Macaca fascicularis: one gene and its partners. The protein of the gene in region 3 purifies or fractionates together with the protein of the main gene of each other region. This does not show direct contact. Links are inferred from orthologs where the notes say so. Each region holds a gene or a part of one and is shown on either strand. Other genes may lie near its edges.

The links. Proteins that work in one complex are often made in the same cells at the same time.
Region 1: the proteins of DCAF7 (region 3) and HIPK2 purify together in Homo sapiens (affinity purification with western blotting; 3 studies listed by BioGRID and IntAct, with this or other methods). This does not show direct contact. The link is inferred for Macaca fascicularis from reciprocal best matches to the Homo sapiens genes DCAF7 and HIPK2.
Region 2: the proteins of DCAF7 (region 3) and CCT8 purify together in Homo sapiens (affinity purification with mass spectrometry; 3 studies listed by BioGRID and IntAct, with this or other methods). This does not show direct contact. The link is inferred for Macaca fascicularis from reciprocal best matches to the Homo sapiens genes DCAF7 and CCT8.
Region 4: the proteins of DCAF7 (region 3) and SOWAHC purify together in Homo sapiens (affinity purification with mass spectrometry; 4 studies listed by BioGRID and IntAct, counting the BioPlex papers as one, with this or other methods). This does not show direct contact. The link is inferred for Macaca fascicularis from reciprocal best matches to the Homo sapiens genes DCAF7 and SOWAHC.
Region 5: the proteins of DCAF7 (region 3) and TROAP purify together in Homo sapiens (affinity purification with mass spectrometry; 3 studies listed by BioGRID and IntAct, counting the BioPlex papers as one, with this or other methods). This does not show direct contact. The link is inferred for Macaca fascicularis from reciprocal best matches to the Homo sapiens genes DCAF7 and TROAP.

The regions. Positions count from the first base shown.
Region 1 is NC_088377.1:181,456,948-181,461,177, forward strand, and holds the start of HIPK2 (homeodomain-interacting protein kinase 2), read right to left. Parts: upstream 2,801-4,230; 5' UTR 2,434-2,800; coding exon 2,415-2,433; intron 2,053-2,414; exon of another isoform or gene 1,869-2,052; intron 1-1,868.
Region 2 is NC_088377.1:17,965,950-17,970,133, reverse strand, and holds the start of CCT8 (T-complex protein 1 subunit theta), read right to left. Parts: upstream 2,801-4,184; 5' UTR 2,743-2,800; coding exon 2,683-2,742; exon of another isoform or gene 2,658-2,682; intron 1-2,657. UniProt on the Homo sapiens protein: Component of the chaperonin-containing T-complex (TRiC), a molecular chaperone complex that assists the folding of actin, tubulin and other proteins upon ATP hydrolysis.
Region 3 is NC_088390.1:70,058,791-70,062,997, reverse strand, and holds the start of DCAF7 (DDB1- and CUL4-associated factor 7), read right to left. Parts: upstream 2,801-4,207; 5' UTR 2,568-2,800; coding exon 2,430-2,567; exon of another isoform or gene 2,305-2,429; coding exon of another isoform or gene 2,284-2,304; intron 1-2,283. UniProt on the Homo sapiens protein: Involved in craniofacial development. Acts upstream of the EDN1 pathway and is required for formation of the upper jaw equivalent, the palatoquadrate. The activity required for EDN1 pathway function differs between the first and second arches.
Region 4 is NC_088387.1:17,110,188-17,114,386, forward strand, and holds the start of SOWAHC (ankyrin repeat domain-containing protein SOWAHC), read left to right. Parts: upstream 1-1,399; 5' UTR 1,400-1,492; coding exon 1,493-3,088; 3' UTR 3,089-4,199.
Region 5 is NC_088385.1:56,144,089-56,148,123, reverse strand, and holds the start of TROAP (tastin), read right to left. Parts: upstream 2,801-4,035; 5' UTR 2,724-2,800; exon of another isoform or gene 2,719-2,723; intron 2,465-2,718; 5' UTR 2,460-2,464; coding exon 2,316-2,459; intron 2,224-2,315; coding exon 2,031-2,223; intron 1,914-2,030; coding exon of another isoform or gene 1,794-1,913; exon of another isoform or gene 1,680-1,793; intron 544-1,679; coding exon 386-543; intron 299-385; coding exon 161-298; intron 1-160. UniProt on the Homo sapiens protein: Could be involved with bystin and trophinin in a cell adhesion molecule complex that mediates an initial attachment of the blastocyst to uterine epithelial cells at the time of the embryo implantation.

The sequences.
Region 1 (4,230 bases), on a different chromosome or scaffold from region 3:
GGAAAAGCTCTGCTCATTTAGCGTGCACACAGGGAGTCCATGTGTTCTGATTGAGATAGGGGAAAAATCAGGTTTCCTGAACCCAGCGGATGTTACCATGGCGGGAGAAAGGAGGTCATCAGAGTCTTGGCACAATCATCAGTGAGTGAATGCGGGTCCTAGCAACCTAATCCTTGATTCTAGAGGTCACCTGTTGTAGAGCATATCCAACAATCTCTTTCAAAAACACCCAGGCCTGGGCTTTTGGCAGAGTGATGTGGGTTAGTTGAGGTGGGATAGGGAAGAACATTAGAAAAATAATTATAAAGGTGCACAGAGAAACATCCGGAATAAAAGGGTGCACAGCGCGGGAAGAATGAAGAAGGCACATGGATAAGATGGAGGGAAACCGAGGGCTGAAAGAGGCCACCACGGAGGTCACCTGAGAAAGGGAAGGAAGGCTGGCAAATAAAAACAGTTCATGAGACTTTTGAGATCCATGATTATTCTTAAACCGTAACACCCTACACACCTGCAATTCTTTATCTGGCGTAAGGAACTGGAAGAACAATGTAGCAGGAATGGGGAGAGCCAAGTCTCAGCCTCGGGGGCATGGCCTACATTCCACATGGATTTAGAATGAAAGGAGCAGGAGGAGAACAGTGCAGTTCCCAAGATGGCTTTCCACAAAGTTGACAAAATACACCCCAACTCACATACCCGGTCCCTAGTAACAGGGAAACCAGCCGTTTACTATAGTTCTGAATTCAATGCCAAGTTCCTTCTCGCAACTCACCAGGAGTGTCCAGCAGAGGGAGTCTCAAGGAGGTACTTAATAAAGAGAAAATTGTTTCATTTTAACACTCTAGACAGTGGGAGCATTGACTGTAGCCCCCTCCTGTAGACGCAGATGAACAATGAACGCCCGACATGGGTTCTCCCGCATGTTCACATGTCCACCGGCATGTTCTATTCTGCGTGGTGGAGTGATCAGAAATTTCGTTTTGTTTTGTCGAATGGTTAAATGGACCTTGTGTTCTTCAGAATCAAAGAGGAAAGCCCCTGGAATAACATCTCTCTGTTGCCTTCTAAACAGCCCCTTTGTTTCTAAGAGAGTCTGAAAAAAAATATTTACAGTCCATAGGTTATTTACAGCCTCGTTATCCAGGGCCTGACTGGTAACTTTATTCCGGCCAGAAACCTAATTCATTTGGAGCCCTGAATCTAATAACAGATTTTCTTTTCAGATAAGTTTTTTTTTTTTTTTTTTTAAATCAGCCTCTTATAACAGAGATAAAACTATTAACGCCTTCCCTGTCTCACTGGCCACAACTGTTCTCCGGATTTACAGGCGGATTACATTCCCCCCTCGTGCCCTCCTCTGTGCCACACAAACCCTGTCCCCTCTCATTTGCGATTTCATCCACAGAATATCTGAACAAAACCGAAAGAAAGCCAGGGGGACCCACACTAAAAGTATGTGAAGGCTGCGAATTCAATGATTTCATGAGACAAACATTTACACGATGAAACGACTGAAAAATCAGACACACTTGGGTTTAAAATTTCTCCTACTACAAGCACACAAAAACACATCGAAGTGTAAAAACTTAGTTGATTCTGGGTTGCTTTCTGGCTGGAAGCTGACAGAACGGACTGAAGAGAAACGAAAGACAGTGTGCGAGGCAGACCTACTGCTTTTCTGCCTTGCATTCTTTTCTTTCTTGCTAAAGGCAAATGGGGAAAAATACCCCGACGCCAGGTGAAGGTGCACAACACAGGTCGACCCAGACCGAGCCAGGAAAACGTATCCGCCGCTCCCCCGGCTGGAAAACCCAAAGTCCACGTCCCCTTCCACACGCTAATGCGGGGAGATTTTCGCCTATTTCATTGTTCTGCCTGGCTCTGACACGGACTTTTCATCTCTCTCCCCACCTAGCCCCGTGCATTCCGATTCCACAGCCCCCCCAAAATCGGAGGCTCGCGGAGAATAAAGGAGCGTGGGGTGGGCGCGGAGAGAAATGGGAAGGGGCGCGGGGCGGAGAGCGAAGTGGAAAGGAGGTGCTCCGAAAGGTAATGTGGGGGGGCGGTGGAAGCTGAGCCGCATCACCTTCATTTATCGCAAATAAATAAAAAGCACAGTCACCGGTCCGCCTTCCCCGGCGCCCCTGCCCTCCGCGGGCAGCCGCCCACCCTCGCACACGCCCCCTCCCCTCCTGCGCCCCCGGTCCCTCTCCCCGCCCTGGAAGCAGGACCCTGCCGGCGCCGGGTCCCGGTCATCTTCCGGGCGAGGGAGGGGGTCGCGGCCCCCTCGGCCCCGGGTGGGGGCTGGGGCGGGCGCCGGGGGCTGCGGGCGCGGGGCCGCGGGCAGAACAAAGCTGCGGGGGCCGCGGCGGGCGGCGGGCGCGGGGTCGGCGGGGCTGGGCGCCCCTTACCTTCGTACACGGGGGCCATCGGGGCCGGGGTGTCCGCGGTTCATGGCAACGGGGACGGGAAAGCGGCGCGCGAGCTCGGCCCCCCCAGCCTCAGTCGGAATCTGCCATCTTGAGCCTGTGTCTCCGCTCTCGGCGCAGCCGAGGCCGCCCGCGCCCGCATCACCGCCTCCCGTGGCCGGCGCCGGGGGAGGGGGCCGGGCGCGCCGCCGCCGCCGCCGCCGCTGCCGCCCGGGCCCGGCGCGGGGGGCTCGGGGCTCGGGGCTCGGGGCGGCCGGGCGGGCGGAGCGGCCGAGGCCGAGGCGCCGAGCGGCCGCGGCCCCCGAGCGGGTCCGCGGAGGGGCGGGAGCCGGGGGCAGCGCGCGGCCAGGGCCGGCGGGGCTCAGCTCAGCATGGCTGGGCGCGGGGGCTCCGCAAAAGTTGCTGGCGGAGGGGGGCGGCGGGCGGGGGCGGGGCGCGGGGCCGGGAGAGCCACAGGGAGTCCGCGCGCAATCGAGCGCCGATGGCACGGATGCGAGGCGGGGAAGGCCGAGCCGAAGGGCAGAGCCGCGCCGGCGGCCCGAGGGGACCGCGCCGGGAGGGGCTGCCGCGCAGCGCGGGGGGACTGGGCGCGGGGCGGGCCCGGGGTAGCGGGTGAGAGGGCCGGCCTGGACCCGGCGGGCGCAGGGCTCCGAGCCCAGCGCAGCCGAGCCGGTCCGCAGAGGGGCCCCCAGAACTTTGTGTGTGTGTGTGCGTGTGTGCACGCGCGTGTGTGTGTGCCCAGGTGCGAGGGTGCGCGCGTGTGCTGGCGGGGAGGGAACCGACCCGAAAGAGAGCCCCAGGCTGGCAAAGTGGCTCGCCCATCTCACAGCCGGTTGGCGCTCGCGGAGTTAGGAGTGGAATGAATGAATGAAGGAGTGGGCGCGCGCCGTGCTCCCGGGGAGGGCGGGTGAGTGGAGGAGCTTCGGAAAGCTACGCGAGGTCAGAGGCACCGAAGCCCTACCGTGCACGCCGCGGAAATGCAGCCCCCGGGGTGGTCGCTGGGTTCCTGCCGGAGTCTGGCTTCGACGTCACCCTGATCTTCGCCTCCTCGCGTCTACACTGTCCCGAGGGTCCCCCCTCCATCACTGAATGGGCGCTCACAGCTGTCTGGGTCCTCGCTTTTCACAGCGCTCTCTCCTATCAGGGCTTTCGCTAAACACTCTCCAAACTCTCCCCAGCCCGGAGCCTCTTCAGGTTTGCTTCTCCAGCTGCCTCCCGGATGCTTGGATAGGATGCCCTACCATCCCCTCCAACTTAGGAAGACTTGTTGAGTCTCCTCTTAGGCACAGTTTTTAAAACTGTGGGTCGTGATACAGTAATAGATCATAAAATAAATGCAGCAGAAGGCAACCGGCTTTCAAAAAGAATGAAATGGAATCCAATAGAAAATATTAGAGTCCATTGCCCTTAGTAAGGGCAACTATTGTTTCATAAACCTTTTGTTTCGATTATAGGTACTGGACAAGTGTACTAGACCATGATGTCAATTTTATTTCCGACTGTAAATCGTGGATTTAGAAAAGTTGAAAAGCTGTCTTTTTAAGGTGTAAAATAATGATCTCTAACACTGTATGACATTCTTAAAAACAACCCCGTGATTTTCTCACTACTTCTTATCCTTTCCGGTCTCCATCTTCCATTCCCATCCTCTATTCCCCGCCCCTCCCCCCAAAAAAGGCAAGCTCTTTCACATTTTGTTAGTGGCACATCACGACCCCTTTCTCTCTGTGATCTTGGACTCTGCCGTCTTCCTTGCCCCCATAATCAATGCTACACTTCCTACCCCTTCTCTTAACTT
Region 2 (4,184 bases), on a different chromosome or scaffold from region 3:
TTAGAGTTGAGGTTTACTTGGGTCCTCAGATATATTTCACTAATCTACAGTGCATGAGAACATTTCTTTAGAGCTGTGCTGCCCAATACAGTAGCCACCAGCTACATGGGGCTAGTGAAAGCAATTAAAGTAAATTTTCAAGTAATTAAAATTTAAAAATTCAGTTCCTCAATTGCAGGAGCCACACACAGTTCAAATGCCCAGTAGCTACATGTGGCTTGTGAATATCACATTGGACAGGCTGATACAGCATATGTCCAACACTGCAAAAAGTTCTATTACACAGTACTGCTTTACAATACAAGCCATGATTTTGTGATCCAAAACCAAGGTTAATAGCTGTTACATTTTTTTGAGAGAGAGAGAGTCTCTATCGCTCAGGCTGGAGTGCGGTGGCACGATCTCAGCTCACTGCAACCTGGGCCTCCCAGTTCAAGCAATTCTGGAGGCTCAGCCTCCTGAGAAGCTGGGACTAGAGGCGCGCGCCACCACACGAGGCTAAGTTTTTTTGTATTTTACCCCTGCCAATAGCCACTACTCTAAAAGCATCTTCAGCAATAAGAACTGTATTCCAGCAATAACACTTAAGTCTGAACTCCTGGCTTCCACTCTTCCTTCTTCCCCTCACTCCCCATTCTGTGAGAAACTACCATCTGATCAGATCCCATCATTCCCATACTTAAGACCTTCAAGGCCGGGCGCGGTGGCTCACGCCTGTAATCCCAGCACTTTGGGAGGCCTAGGCGAGCGGATCACGAGGTCAGGAGTTTGAGACCAGGCTGGCCAACATAGTGAACCCTTGTCTCTACTAAAAATACACAAAAAATTAGCCGGGCGTGCGCCTGTAATCCCAGCTACTCTGGAGGCTGAGGCAGGAGAATCGCGTGAACCTGGCAGGCGGAGGGTGGAGAGAGCGCCACTGCATCCCAGCCTGGGCGACAGAACGCAACCTCGTCTCAAAAAAAAAAAAAAACCCACAAACAACAAAAAAAACCCTTCAACAGTTTCCCATCCTGCTTAGGATAAAATGCAAATCCCTCTTCAGGGAAACAAGGCCCTACATATCCTGGCCCGTGTATCCTTGTATAGCTCCTCCTCTAAATTTACCATTTTCTTTTCTTTGGTAAGCTTCAGCCCTATAACCTGTTTTCTGGTTTTTTTGAAGAAGAAGAAAAAAAACAGGTTCAAATCATTCCTTCCTCAGGGTCTTTGTACTAGTTAAGTACACCTAAATAAGAGGTGGGGGGAAACAGCCCAGGCTCAGGGGCTTCTCTCACTAAGCACAGAGCTAAGAGTTCTTCCCTAAATATCTAAGTGTTCTGTCTATTCCTGATGCTTCTTTTAGAGACATTTTAACCTCCTGTCATCCTCTACTATAGTACGGTTTCTTTCATCATTATTTGGAATTCTCCTTTTAATCATTATATCTGCCTTAGAAGCACATAAACTCTACGAGAAGTGGGACTTGTGTTTTTCACTGCAGTTCCTTCAGTACCTATTTATTGAATGAAATAGCTCAGTGTTCTGTAAAAATCTACTAGCATTGGAAATACAAATAATGTTTTGTGATACACGAGTTTTCCAAAACTGTATTAGTGAAAAAAACCCAAATTGGAAGCTAATATCTCAGCCTGATTTTTTAAGGAAATCAGCCCATATTATTTTCAAAAGATGATGCCACCAACATTTACATTAAACCCTGACATTTACTTACTATAATGACATTATTTGAAGAGTGCATTCTACAAACATGAACCTAGTTGTATTAAACTGTTAATGCTCCCTGTACCTCGCATAACCTTAAATTCGACCACACTGATCTATTTCTTGAATTAACAAAATCTGGAGGACATACAGAGGAACGCAATTTGAATAGCACAAGAGACAAATTTATCAACAGTGCAGTAAGATATGTTTTAAAACTATGCTACTGAAATAACGTTCAAGACACGGCCATTAAACAAAACAGTGTCATCTGCAACACTGTATCACTTATCCTGCAGATTACAGGGTCAGAACTCAAAGACACCACCCTCTTGGTCCAATCTCCATAATTTAAAGATCAAGAAAACAAAACCCAAGAGAGTTAGGTTTTAGACTAAGCCAGCTAACATAAGTTGGGACTGGAACTCATCTGGCTACAACGCATGGCTTCTGTCAACCAAGCTGAAAGCCCTGTTTCTCACTGGGAAAGAAGCAACCACGACCCGGCCCTTTTTCCCACACTCTCTTCTCTGGATCGCCTAGTTCTCCTTCTTCCCCATCCTATAACTCGCGAGCTATGTGTCAATCGGCGTCGCAGTTCCCAAGACAATTTCATCTACGTTATTCAATTTCACCCTCACAACCCCTTTTAAGCGTGACGGGCCTTAGCCCCATTTATGGATGGAGGCAAAACGCACGCGCGGCTTCACGTCCGTCCACCTTCAAGGTGTACAATGTCCATCGTGCCGCCCACCCCTCAGCCTTCTCCCGGTCGCGGAAGAAGAGAAGTGCCTGTAGGCCCCGGGACACCTGGAAGGCCGAGTCCTTCCAAGATCACCTCCCTTTCTGGAATCTTCTCTCCCCCGGCCGCTGTGCCAGGGCAGCACGCTCAGCCCGTTAGTAGGCCCTCCTACTTCGCCGCGGCCGCCGCAGCCCTATGCTGACTCTCCCACCTCATTCCTTTCCTTCAGCCCTTACTTTGGCTCCCTCCTTGAGCATCTGGGCAAAGCCCGGAGCCTTGGGAACGTGAAGCGCCATGGCCAGGCTGCAGGAAGCCGTTCACGCGACCACTCGGAAGAAAGCGGAGGAAGCAAGGAGCACGCACAGCCTTCTGGGAAAGCAGCGTGCGGCCGTGTCTCTTTCTTCCTCGCTCTCCAGTTAGCCCGCCCTTTCCCCGCCGCCAGAGGTGAAGCATCGCGAGAAGAGCAACTTCTGTGACCAGAACCAAGCTGACGATCCCCGATCGGGTCGATCGATAGGGCGGGCCCAGGGAGCGCCTCGGGTTTCCGGCTCACGCACGCGCAGACGGCCCAAGCCGTGGGAGCTTGTTCCAGTCTGTGCTCCCTGATCGGACTCAGTAGTCGCGGTGTTAGATTTTTGCGGCTTTTGATGTGGAAGGCACACATCCTTAGCTTAATTTCCACGTAATATTCCAGACCCAGCCACCAACATCAGGGCAGGTGTGTGTGTGTGGATTTTTTTCCCCGAGGCAGAGCATCTGCCCCATCCTCCAAAATTGCCTTTGGGCGTGCGCTGTGTGTTGGGCACCATAGGAAGCGCTGGGAATGCGCATGATAATTAAAGTCGTCACTAAGGGTAGCGTAGCACACATCAAATGCTCACGTGTGCCAGGTTCTGTGTGATCTGCTTTACATGCGCCAGGTTCTGTATGATCCGCTTTCCATGGAGTATCTCTGTTAATGGTCAATCTTAAAAATTAATGAATCGTCGATTAAAATAACATTTAGTTTTCCTTCTACAAAATGGAGACAATACCATTTGATTTTTAATGGTATTGTTTCCATTTTATGGAAGGGAAACTGAAGTTCACAAAGGGTAATAATTTTCCCAAGATCACAGAGCTAGTAAATATTACAGCTAGAATTCCTACCCAGGTCAGACTGATTGCAAAATGTATACATTTTATATAAATATATCTGATTTATATATAAATTTATAGATCAATATAAATCCCTTCGGCTTGGTGGCATGCACCTGTAGTCTCAGCTGCTCAGGAGGCTAAGGTTGGAGGATCTGCTTGAGCCTGGGAGGTTGAGGCTGCAGTGAACTGAGATCATGCCACTGCACTCCAGCCTGGGCAACAGAGTGAGGTCCTGTCTCAAAAAAAAAAAAAATCTTTTTTTGCAAAAATGTAAATGCCAGTGATATGGTTTGGATTTGTGTCCCTGCCCAAATATGATGTGGAATTATAATCCCCAGTGTTGGAGGTGTGGCCTGGTGGGAGGTGATTTGATCAAGGGGGCGAACGTCCCCATTGCTGTTCTTGTGATAGTGAGTGAGTTCTCATGAGACCTAGTTGTTTAAAAGTGTGTGGCACCTCCCTACTCTGTCTCTTCCTCCTCCTCCAGCCTTGTAGGACTTTCCGGCTTCCCCTTCACCTTCCACCTTGATTGTAAGCTTCCCGAGGCTTCCCCAGCCATGCTTCCTGTATCGCCTGTGGAACTGTGAGCCAATTAAAC
Region 3 (4,207 bases):
TGAACTTGAATTGGAAAATCATGCCCATATTTCCATTCACCTCTAGCTAAATATGTTTTATTTCCTTCAATTACAAATGGGTTAGGTGCTCACAGTGGCATAAGTATCTGTGACTTCACCAGCAAGAGAAATATTTTTTCCCACCACGGTGCAGTTAAGCATCTTGAAATGCTGTTTACCCTTGTCACCACTTCAAAATTACATTAATAATTACACTGGATGGTGTAAATCAATATATTTATTAAAAGTACATATGACTACATCACCACTTCTAAAAACATGTTTATATCTGTAGTGCAACGTAAGTGGTTTCTTTTGTAATTCTACGTGTTCTATGCATTTGAAAACATAACTATGAGAAGGGGTCTATTGGTATCAGATGATCATAGCACACAGAATTTAAGAACCCTGACCTACTGACAGGTGGAGGCACAAAAATGATTTTAAGACAGCACATTGCCTACATCATGTGAGTTAAGATATAGCTAACTGCTTACGCTGTTGATAGTGGGGTTATTAGTTTGCATTTCACTGCTAAGCCATGCTACCTGTGTGCCTGGAACAAAGAGGAAGCTCCAGAGAGTTGCTAAAAGAAAGGACAAACTGGGGTAGAGTTCCTGCAACAGCAGTTTGACTACTCCATTGATTCTACCAGCAGCCTAACTGTGGCTCAGTTTCTCCTCTCTGGAGAATAGGAGTAACTATTGTTTACCCCGTGACACTGGAAAAACACACAGGAAAAAAACATTAATTTGTGTGAAAAATTAAGCTTAAGCTCTTTGAAAGACATACTTTTTTATTTTCCACGTGTATCCTTAAACAATAGTTCTAGTGGTCTTAATTTTACTAACACGGTGTCCACATCAGAATCTTGAATCCCATTCCCAGTTCAGCTGTCCACAATGGGCCACAAGGAAGAAAGAAGCATCAGAGGAAAGGAAATACAGCTCTATTTCGCCCGGGAAATGGGTGAACTTAAAGATCAGTGCATATTGCTTGGATTTGTTTGTAAATATGTTCACGTATGTGTAATGTCTGGACAATGAAAATTCATCGCTTTCATCAGCTTCTCAAAGAGGACTCCAAAGAAGACCTACTCTAGAGAAACGTGCTCCTGAAAAACTGTAAACAAACTGTAAAATATTCAAATTTCTTTTTTACAAGACCCTCACATGTAAACCAGAACCCCTTCCCTACAGCAAACTGTGGGTCACAGATAATAAAACAGGCCTGTGCAACACCTCACAGCTAGTCAATAATCAGACAGGACCCACTCCTAGACCACCTGGCTTTTTCCCCCCTGCATGAGCCTTGTCACTGAACAGTTTTCTTCTTCTTCTTTTTTTTTTTTTTTTTTTGTATTTTAGTAGACAGCGTTTCACCTTGTTACCCAGCCTGGTCGCAAACTCCTGAGCTCAGGTAATCTGCCTGCCTCGGCCTCCCAAAGTGCTGGGATTACAGGCGTGAATCACCGCGCCCAGCCAGTTTTACTCTTCTTAAATCTGATGCTCATGGCATAAGGCAGTAGTGGCTTTAAATATCACTAGCCACAGCTTTCAGTTGCTCTGATCGCTATCATTCAACTTTAATTGAGTAAAAGGAAGAAAGCAAAGAAAATGCTTCCAACTGACTTATTCAGCTTTCAAAGATGAGTTTATGTTGCAATGCCAGTTTAAAAGCTCCCCTACGACACCGTGCTTCTATAAAGGATTCTCAAATTGATGAATGTCCAGCAAGATCTATTACTAAAGGTCACACAACTGTACTAGCATGAAACAAGCCAAAAGATAAGGCCCTGTCATCCTGTGTTCAGGAAACAACCGCGGGATCATGCCACAGGCCAAGATTTCCAAAGAGATTGCTTTAGAGAGAATGGTTATCAGGAAGCAAGAGCAACAGTAATTCTGGCAGAAGGGCTAGGATCCACACCCGGGGTGTGGGAGTAGGGGGCGGGGAAGCTTGTACAACAGATCGTCTTAATAGAAATCTAGTGTGGCCAAGAGTGCACGACCGCGAATAGAAGCGTCTGCATTTTCCTTCACAACTACCACTCCCTCTTCCCTTCCCCGCCCACCAACGAAAAAAATGCGGCAGGAGTGGAGAGCACGGGAGGAATAAATGGAGTATCTTTGGGGCGTAAACCCGGTTTTAAGACCTGTTTCCACCACGAAATAGCTGCCTGACACAGGCAAGTCACAAAACCGTGACTCAGTTTCCCCACTACACTGCCGACTACACAAGAATGCTGCCGGGATTAAATGAGACAGACAACGAGTACGAAACCTTCAGCACAGGGCCAGACATTGGAACCGCTCCATGGCCCTAAGGCGAGTCCGCAGGAGGGTTCTGGGGCCTGGGCTCCGGCCCGGAAAGGGCGCTCCCGGGGCCCGCTCCCCGCCAGCTGGGTTCCGAGGCCCTGCCCGGCCCACCTTGTTGTTGTACTCCTCCACGAAGCTGCCCAGCGCCAAGCGAAAGCGCTTATCGGGCCGCACACTCCAGTTCATCGCGTAGACCGTCCAGGGCGCTTCATACTTGTAGATCTCCTTCCGTTTGCCGTGCAGGGACATGGTGGCGGCGGGGCCGCAGTACGGGCCGGGTCAACAGTGGGCTGCGGCGGGCGGGGTGCGAGTCGGGCGGGGAGCCGGGCCTGAGATCTATGGGTCCGAAGGGAGGAGGGGCGGGGGCGGGCAGGAACGGCCTACCCCGGAAGCGGGGATGCGGCGACAAACAACGACAACGACCGAACCCGACCCCTAGTTTCAAACCAGCTTGGGCACCGACGACAACCACCTTCCGTTTCGGGACGCCGCCCCGCCCTCTCGGAACGGAAGCCACGGGACCCCTGCAGCGCCACCGGCCGTTGGTTGCCTGACACGTCCTTTCGAAAGGATTCTTTCTTCTCATTGGTTATTGCGGCCGTAGCGTGTGAAATCTCCTCGTTATTGGGTTAAATGTTTGTCATTGCAACTACTCGCCCCGCCCAACTCTCGGAGGCAGGCGCTTTGGCAGCCCCAAAGATCATTGGCTGACCAAGATGTCAGTCAGGCAGATAACGGCGCAGTGCGGGTGGTGGGGGCGTGGGTGGCCGGGAGGCGAGCGTGCTGGAGTAGCGGGCCTCCAAGTTCTAGGCCAAGTCTCTGAGCGTGAAACTGTCTGTGACCTGCGCTGACTTCTCCTCTGCTGCTGCTGTTCTGAGCGGCCTTTCCATGCTGTCGAGTAAAAGTACAATTCTGCTTTAGCGGAAGACCTACTACTTTCGCGGGACCGAGCCCCGCGGCCTGGCAGCCTGGCCTATGCGCAACGGGTACCACCTTCCTGCCCCTTCTCTTCCCAAGGCCCCTTTAACCCGAAAGCTGCTGTCTTCGGGCCTCAGGGCCAGGCTTCAGGGGCGCAGCTGCGCTCAGGGCCAGGCCAGCTTGAGTCAGGTCCTCCCGCGCTTTCCTGCAGGATCTAGAAATGTCCCCGAATTCTGGGGTAGACACCGACCTGACCAGCTTGGCTCTGTTTTTGTCGGTTCCCATCCTGTACCTTCCCCGCCGTGCATCCCAACGCAAATGCTAATCCAGCCCCAAAAGTATCTGTGCCTGTGAGTTTGAAAGGGAGAAGGGCCAGAGACCAAGTGACACCTTTATATAAATGGTTTCCAATTCTTAGCTTTCATCAAAATTGAAGGAGGTTTGTATTGAATTGTTGGATTATAACATTAAAGTTTTTTTTTTTTTTTTTTTTTTTTTTAAAGACAGGGTCTTGCCCTGTCACCCAGGCTGGAGTGCACTGGTGTGATAAGGGCTCACTGTAGCCTCGACTGCCTAGGCTCAAACGATTCCACTTTAGCCTCCAGAGCAGCTGGAACAACAGACGTTTGCCACCACACCTAGCTATTTTTAAATTATTTGTAGAGATGAGATCTCTCCATGTTGCCCAGGCTGATCTCGAACTTAGGCTCAAGCGACCCTCCCACATCAGCATCCAGAAGTTCCGGGATTACAGGCTTGAGCCACCATTCTGGGCGCTAAATATAATTTTTAGTGAAAATGATTTTTCCATCTCCCAGGTTTAAGTGATTCTCTTGCCTCAGCCTCCCGAGTAGCTGGGATTACAGGGGTGTACCACCACGGCCAGCTAATTTTTGTATTTTTAGTAGAGACAGGGTTTCACCATGTTGACCATGCTGGTGTCGAACTCCTGACCTCAAATGATCTGCCAG
Region 4 (4,199 bases), on a different chromosome or scaffold from region 3:
AGATCCAGCCACTGCACTCCAGCCTGGGCGACAGAGCGAGACTCCGTCTCAAAAAAAAAAAGAATACACAGACATCGGCCCTCCAAACGGTGGTATCATTCCATATCATGTAGCCTTTGGAAAACTCGATGTACAGGTCCTTGGTACTATCATGAAAATAGTTGTAACGACACTTTGAAAACCGCTGGCTTACTAGTAAGCGAAATAAATATACAAAAGTAACTGGAAAGGTTCAAAACAATGAACAAACGCGTTCTTTTAGAGTACAAAAGAGTCAAGGCGGGAAAAAAAACGGTTCGGAGGAAAACTTGGACGACCACACCATTGGGTAAAACGCGAAAGCTTTTGAAAAGCCAGGGAAGCCGGGCTTTCTCCCGGGGGCAGGGAGGCTGGGAAGTGCTCACGGCTGTGAAAGATGACCGCTATTCAACCAGTCCGCACACCGCCCTCAACACCGTTACAGCCATGAGAGACCCACAATCACCGCTGTGGGTTTAACTTTTGGCAAAGACCGGGAAGTCGTTCAAGAAGAACTCCCCCACCGTCCCGACGCTGGCACCGCGCCCCGTGCCCCGCAAGCCGGGGTCCGGCCGCGCCCAGGCTCCTGTCCCGCCCCAGGCGCCCGGCCGCCGCGGAAGCCGGGAAGGACTGGGCGGGCGGGGCCCGAGGGGGCGCGGGTCACAATCCCGGGCCGGACCAGGGGGCCAGCGGGCCGGGGTCGCGGTCCGGGAAGTCCCGCGGGGGCCGAGGAGCTCGGGGCTGGGGCCCCGGCGTCGGCGGGACTCACCAGGTGCCGCGCCACCTCGGAGGAGGCCATGGTCGCGGGGAGGGGCGCGGTGAAGCGGCTGTATCAGCCCGGCCCCGAGCGGCTGGTCCCGACAACGGCGGCGGGAAGGCGGGAGCGCTGCAGTAACGGGCGGGGCGCGAGGCGAAGCGGCTCCGCCACAGGGAAGGGACAGGGGCGGGGCCGAGCTGGAGGCCTCCGGGGACGGTGGACGGGGGGCGGGGTCGGGGCGGACGCCCTGTGGTGCGCGCTGAGCGTTTTGAGTTCGCCAAACGAGCCCCTCGCGGGAGCTGCCCTCGACGACTGAGGACTGAGTGTCAGTGTTGGGGCGGGCTGAAGGAGAGCCGGGACTCCAGGAAGAGGGCGCGAAGAATGCAGGCGGGAACTGCGGAACAGTGATTGCGGCCCACGCGAGGCCGGAAGTGGGCGGGCCCTGAGGCAAGGCCGCCCTAGGTGGGTGTGGCTGATACAGCGGGGAGCGGAAGTGGGCGTGGCCTGTTGTCGTGGGCGCGGGGCGGGGATGCGGGGGGCGTGTCCCCCCGGGCGCGGCCCAGTGAGGCGGTGGCCGAGTTCTCCGGCCTGTGACGCCTAGGCTGGCAGCACGCTGAGCCCGCCAGACTCCGCCGTCGTCGGGAGACGGCCGCTGGGAGCCCGCCGCGATGGGACCGCGCTGAGCCGCCCGCTGGCGGGGGAGCAGCGCGGTCTAGGATGGAGGGGTCGGCAGAGTGGGGCCCCGAGGCGGTGCTGGGCCCCGAGGCGGTGCTGCGCTTCCTGGCGGAGCGCGGGGGCCGGGCCCTCCATGCCGAGCTGGTGCAGCACTTCAGGGGCGCACTGGGCGGCGAACCCGAGCAGCGCGCCCGCGCCCGCGCGCACTTCAAGGAGCTGGTGAACGCCGTGGCCACGGTGCGCGTCGATCCCGCCGACGGCGCCAAGTACGTGCACCTCAAGAAGAGGTTCTGTGAGGGGCCGTCCGAGCCCTCCGGGGACCCGCCGCGAATCCAGGTGACCGCCGAGCCCGAGGCCCCCGACTGCCCGGCCGGGCCCGGGGTGCGCGATCGGCTCCCCGACGCAGCGGCCCCGGAGGCGCTCCCTGGACAGGGCCGCGAGCTGGGCGAGGGAGAGCCCCACGCCGCCGCTCACGGGCCGCCCCTGAGCGCCGGGGCTCGCAGGAAGAACTCGCGGCGCGAAGTGCAGCCCCTGCCCCGGACTCCGGCCCCGGGACCCAGTGAGGACCTGGAACCCCCGCCCCATGGCTGCGAGGAGGCGGACAGGAGCAGCTCCCTTGGGGGGGCCACCGCACAGAGGCCGGCCCGCCAGAACTTCCGCGACCTGGTGATGGGCAGTTCCCCGCAGCTGAAGAGGAGCGTGTGTCCCGGAGGCAGCAGCCCGGGCAGCTCCTCCGGGGGAGGACGCGGCAGAGGCGGTGGCGACTCAGACAGCGCATCGGTGGCCTCGTCGTCCGCGGAGGAGGAGAGCAGCGGCGGAGGCTCAGTGACGCTAGACCCCCTGGAGCACGCCTGGATGCTCTCTGCCTCCGATGGCAAGTGGGACAGCCTGGAGGGCTTGCTCACCTGCGAGCCCGGCCTGCTGGTCAAGCGGGACTTCATTACCGGCTTCACTTGCCTGCATTGGGCCGCCAAGCACGGAAGGCAGGAGCTTCTGGCCATGCTAGTCAACTTCGCCAACAAACACCAGCTGCCGGTGAACATCAACGCCAGGACGAGCGGGGGTTACACCGCCCTGCACTTGGCGGCCATGCACGGGCACGTGGAGGTCGTGAAGCTGCTGGTAGGGGCCTACGACGCCGATGTGGACATCAGGGACTACAGTGGGAAAAAGGCCTCCCAGTACCTGAGTCAGAGCATCGCTGAGGAGATCAAGAACCTGGTGGGAGCCCTGGACGAGGGTGACGGGGAAAGCGCCGCGGGTAGCAGCGGTGGGCGCTGGAGGCTTTCAAAGGTGCTTCCCTCGCATCTCATCACCTACAAACTCTCACACGTCCTAGATGATGGAGGAGACCATCACTACCATCACCATCACCAACATCACCACTTGGCTGAGGGGTGGGTCGGAGGCAAAGCCAAGGATCCAGGGCGCAAAGCCTCTGGCAGCTCTAGTGGACGTATAAAACCCAGACTCAACAAAATCCGCTTCAGAACCCAGATTGTCCACACCACACCCTCTTTCAGGGACCCAGAACAGCCACTGGAGGGTGGCGGGGAGGAGGAAGTGGAGGAGGAACGGTCTGTTAAAGGCCACTCGTCTTCCTTCAGATTGAGACCAAAGTCCAATGTATTTGGGTAAAAATTATTTCTTTTAGAAAATGCTAAGGGTTATTTGTCTTAGGAAATTGAATACTAGGTGTTGTAAGGAAATGAGACCAGAAGGACAAGCTAAATTATGCATTCTTACTTGAGGGACTGGAATGGATGGGGCGGAGTTCCCTTCAGGTTAGCCTTCTGGGGAAAGTGGATTTCTTTTTAAGAGATTCATCATACCTTGACCTGTGCCTCTTTTCTGCCCTCCACTTCCCTGCCCTGGAGCCCATTTCTGGAGACTAGAAATGTATCTAAATTGGGGGAACAGAATGAATGAATGAGAGTTCCTTTGCTTTAACCATTCCTGGATGTCTGCAAAGTAAGGAATAGTGCACTTTTTATGTATCTGATTTTATAAGGGGTTACTCTTTCAAGAGCAACAAAAAAATGCAAATTGTAATGAAACTGGTAGTATTTCTGAGTGTGAAAACGACAGGCTGCCCCATTTTTTACTAATTGCATTTGCATTTTAAGGTACTACTGAAGGTCAGATCAAAGTTGAAATGCAAAAATACTAATTAGGTAATAATGTGAATAAATGGGAATCCTCTTGGTATTTTATGTGTATTGTAAGTAGCAGTTAAATTATTTTTGTAAAAGCAATTTCAGTTTTAATCACTGAACAAAAGAAACAGGCAACATTCACTTCTGTAGTATGGTTTCCAGCTATCTCTAACACCACTATTAAGGTACACCAGTGTTAAGGTACATTAATAACTACACAAAATTTTATTTAAAGAGGGCACTTAGCAGCCTATGATAGTTTTAAATAAAATGTTGCCTCTCCTTCGGATTCTCACTAACTTGTGTTACTATTCTAAAAGTTTGCATTTGCTGGGGTGTTTATTCTGAGGATCATATAACCATTGTTCTACTTGGCATAACCCTGTTTAATGGTGCTTAGAGCTGAATTACCTACAGAAACTGTTTCTGGTTTAAATAATTAGCACAAATTGGCTCATGAGCCCATGTTTCTGTGAAGTAATTATTAAACCAACGTAATGATCCTCACGTAAGGTACACTTTTTATTTTACTACATTGGTAGTCTCTATGACTTGTAGCAATGTTTTATAAATGTTTAAAATGCTAAACTTAA
Region 5 (4,035 bases), on a different chromosome or scaffold from region 3:
TCAGAGGTGGACCCTAAACCCTCAGGCCTCACCACCAACCCCATCTCCCCCAATAGGATCCCTTGCCTCATCATGAGGTACTTCCTCTCCCAAAGGCCAGCTTTGTCCCTGGAAGGAGCTCCCAGAAGCACCAAGTATCAGGCCTCTCAAGGGCACTCACCAGAGCCTGTAGCCTCTGGGGGCACAAAGTCTGGCCTCGAGGTCCTGGTCCCTCCAGCCTTGAGAAGCAGGAAGCCCTGGCAGGGTCCAGTCGGTGAGTGGGAGTTCTGGGGGCCAAATATGCAGAGGCCCGAACACCCTGGGACACCAACAGAGGCTGTCAGCACAGCTCAGGATGCCCACCTCAGCGCCCCCAGCCTGGTCTCCTCACATCCTGTTTCATTACCTGGCCCCTCTGGGTGGTGCCTCCCTGACTTCCTCGAACCAGTACTCTCTTAGCAAGACTAGGCTGGCGCCCCAGGTGACAGCTCTTCACACCCTCACCTGACAGGATGGTGGCCAGGGCTGCAGGGTCAGCCACAAACTCTATGGTCCCTGGAGCCTCTGCAAGGAAAGAGAAGGAAAGGTAAGAAGGAACAGGAAGGGGGAAAGCTGAGGGGGATAGGGACCCTAGCATAGTCACTTTGAGATACAAGGTGAGCAAAAGAGACTCATTCAATTGAATTTGGCTTTTTTTTTTTTTTTTTTTAAGCAATAGATGGCTGGGCGTGGTGGCTCACACCTGTAATCCCAGCACTTTGGGAGGCTGAGGCAGGTGGATCACTTGTGGTCAGGAGTTTGAGACCAACCTGGCCAACATGGCAAAACCCTGTCTCTACTAAAAAAATACAAAAATTGGCTGGGCATGGTAGCTCACTCCTGTAATCCCAGCACTTTGGGAGGCTGAGACGGGCAGATCACCTGAGGTCAGGAGTTTGAGACCAGCCTGGTCAACATAGTGAAACCCCATCTCTACTTAAAAAAAAAAAAAAAAAATTAGCTGGGCATGGTGGCACACACCTGTAGTCCCAGCTACTCAGGAGGCTAAGGCTGGAGAATCATTTGAACCTGGGAGGTGGAGGCTGCAGTGAGCCAAGATCATGCCACTGCACTCCAGCCTGGTGACAGAGCGAGACTCCGTCTCATATAAATAAATAAATAAATAAATAAAGCAAACAAAAATTAGCCAGGTGTGGTGGCAGGTGTCCGTAATCCCAGGTACTTGGGGGAGGCTGAGTCATGATAATTGCTTGAACCTCGGAGGTGGATATTGCAGTGAGTTGAGATCATGCCACTGTCGTCCAACCTGAGGGATACAGTAAGACTCTATCTCCAAAAAAAAAAAAAAAAAAAAAAGAAAAGAAAAAAAAAAAGAAAAACTAAAAAGAAATGGGGTCTCACCATGTTGTCCAGGCTGGTCTCAAACTCCTGAGCTCAAGTGACCCTCCCGCCTCAGCCTCTCAAAGTGTTGGAATTACAGGCGTGAGCCACCACACCTGCCCACCAAATGTTCATAGAATGTTACATAAGACACTATTCTAAGCATTGGGGTCCCATAAGAATAAGACAAAGCCCCTATCCTCAAGAAGCTATCATCAAACTATAGACAGGTAACAGACTCAAGCCAAGGTATATACATGTTATAAAAGAAGTACTGCAAAGTATTAGGAGAACAAGTGACATGGGGAACTGGAAAAGGCTTCAGAAGAAGTGACATTTATTATTTATTTATTTTTTTTTTTTTTAAAGAGATAGGATCTCCCTCTGTCATCCAGGCTAGTCTCCAACTCCTGGCCTCCAGTGATCCTCCCGCTTTAGCCTCCTGAGTAGCTGTGATTACTGGTACAACCCATGGCGCCTGGTGAGATGACATTTTGCTGGAGGAAAGGGAGATCTTCTAAGAGCAAAGAGCTTTCCAGGAGGTGGAACCAGGACTATCACAGTAAGCAGGAGACAGCAGGAGTGAGTGCAAAACCCCAAAACCCCACTTTTACCCTTCCTAGTTCCCTACTCGGCCATGGAGGCCGTGTTACCAGGGCTCCAACAGGTACCTGTCTGGGCAGGGGGCCCAGGCCCCACATTTTGACCCCTAGGGCTAGGCCTGAGCTCCTCCAAGGGGTTCCGAGGCTGAGGGATCCCCACCAATCTTTGTGATGTCTCTGCCTGGTGCTTGGCTTTGGGCCTAGGGCCTGCTGAATCAACGAGGGGGCGTTGAATATTGAGCGGTGGTTTCTGCAACCATCTCTAGGGGAGGGAGGGGGGACAAAAAGGTGAGGTTTAGTGTTGGGGTGCATTACTGGTGTGACTACTGTCTTCCCCCATTAGGCCGCTCTTACCCTTGGATCTTGGTTCTCCTGGTCCAGGGCGCACGATGTAACAGTGGGGAAAGGCGTGCGTTTCTGAGAGCGTACCGGAATCTTGCTAGGGGTAGGAGATACACCCCGAAGGAGGGGATCCCTCGTGGCTTGCCGGGTGGTCATGATGGCTACAGTTGAGACGGGGAAGAAGGCAGGTAGAATCGGAGATCAAAGATCAACCAGTTCTCGGGGCACCTGTCCTGCCATCCCTGATACCTCTGCCCTAATCCACGCGCCCACAAGCCCCCGGCGCCTGCAAGACCGCTCTTATGGGTGCTACCTCCAGACACCCCGAAACTACTCTTTCGCCCTCGGACCTCGAACTGCCCTCGTCCCTATGAGCCCAGCAGCCCTCGTTCCCTCCAAGACCCCCGTGCCTCACCTTACCGAGAGCCCCTCAGGGCCGACCCAGCTTCCTCCGCTTTTCGCCTGACTCTCTCGGATACGGCTGGAGCTACTTCCTCAGTTTGTAAAATACGCCAAGCTCCTGATTGGCCCGGCCGCGCTCCCGCGGAGGCCTGTGTAGCCAGACTCAGCAGTCCAATCCGCGGGCTTCGCAGGAGGGGCCAAAAGAAGGACCAATTGTCGAACCGCTTTCTGGCCAGGAAAAAAAAAAAAAAAAAAAAAAAAACTGACTCGGCTCAATCAGCCAATCCGAGAGTGGAGCGCCGCTGGAAGGCGGGGAAAGAGGAAGGATGGGGCAGTTCCGAGGCCGTTCCGAGGCCGGGGAAGGCGTAGCCATGGGAGCTCTCGCGAGGTCTCGGGACCGGCGAGGGGCTGGCCATTGGCAGAAAGGGGCCGTCGCGGCCCTGAGAGGACGGTTGCTTGTTCTGATTGGTGCCAACGGTGTTGAAGGCTGGCCTGTGCCCCCCACCCGGCTTGACCACAGCCCTGCGCCAAGCTTTGGGGACGCCATTCCAGATACCCATAGAAAATATCTGCGTCCGGGCGCGGTGGCAGGCGCCTGTAATCCCGGCACTTTGGGACGCCGAGGCGGGAAGATCTTTTGAGCTATGAGTTTGAGACCAGCCTGAGCAACATAGCGAGACCACTCCCACCCCTATCTACAAAATAATAAAATAATAATAATAATTCCTGTGCAGTGGTGCGCGCTTGTAGTCCCAGCTGCTCTGGAGGCTGAGGCAGGAGGATCGTTTTGAGCCCAGGAGGTTGAGGCTGTTTGAGTTGTGGTCACGCCACTGCACTCCAGCCTGGGCAACAGAGAGAGACCCTGTCTTAAGGATAAATACATAAATAAATAAAGAGGGAAAGAGAGAGAGAACATCTGCACGTTGTCTCCAAGATAAGGAACTGCCTTCAAACAGGCAGAGGGCTGAAGGGAATCGAACTGAGCCTAACAATATGTGTGCTCCTTGGAGCCTCACAACCCAGTGAGGTGTCTGGTGAGGTGTCTTTCATTTCACGATAGGTAACAAGACTCATTGTTTTTGAACTCAGTTACCACAGCACCAGAATTGAATGACTACTCACAGCTGGGCTTTCCTTGCCTCCAGGTAGCCTTTTGCAGATCTAGAGGTCTGGGGAGAGGGGGCTCACCTGCTGGTTATTGGTGGGCAGAGCTGTGAGACTGAGAGATCCTAGAATATCCTGCTTAAGATGGACGGGGTAACCCCTAATGGGGGACAGGAAATGAACACCACTTTCAAGTTGACAGAACTCTGGTGAATTTTCCCCACCA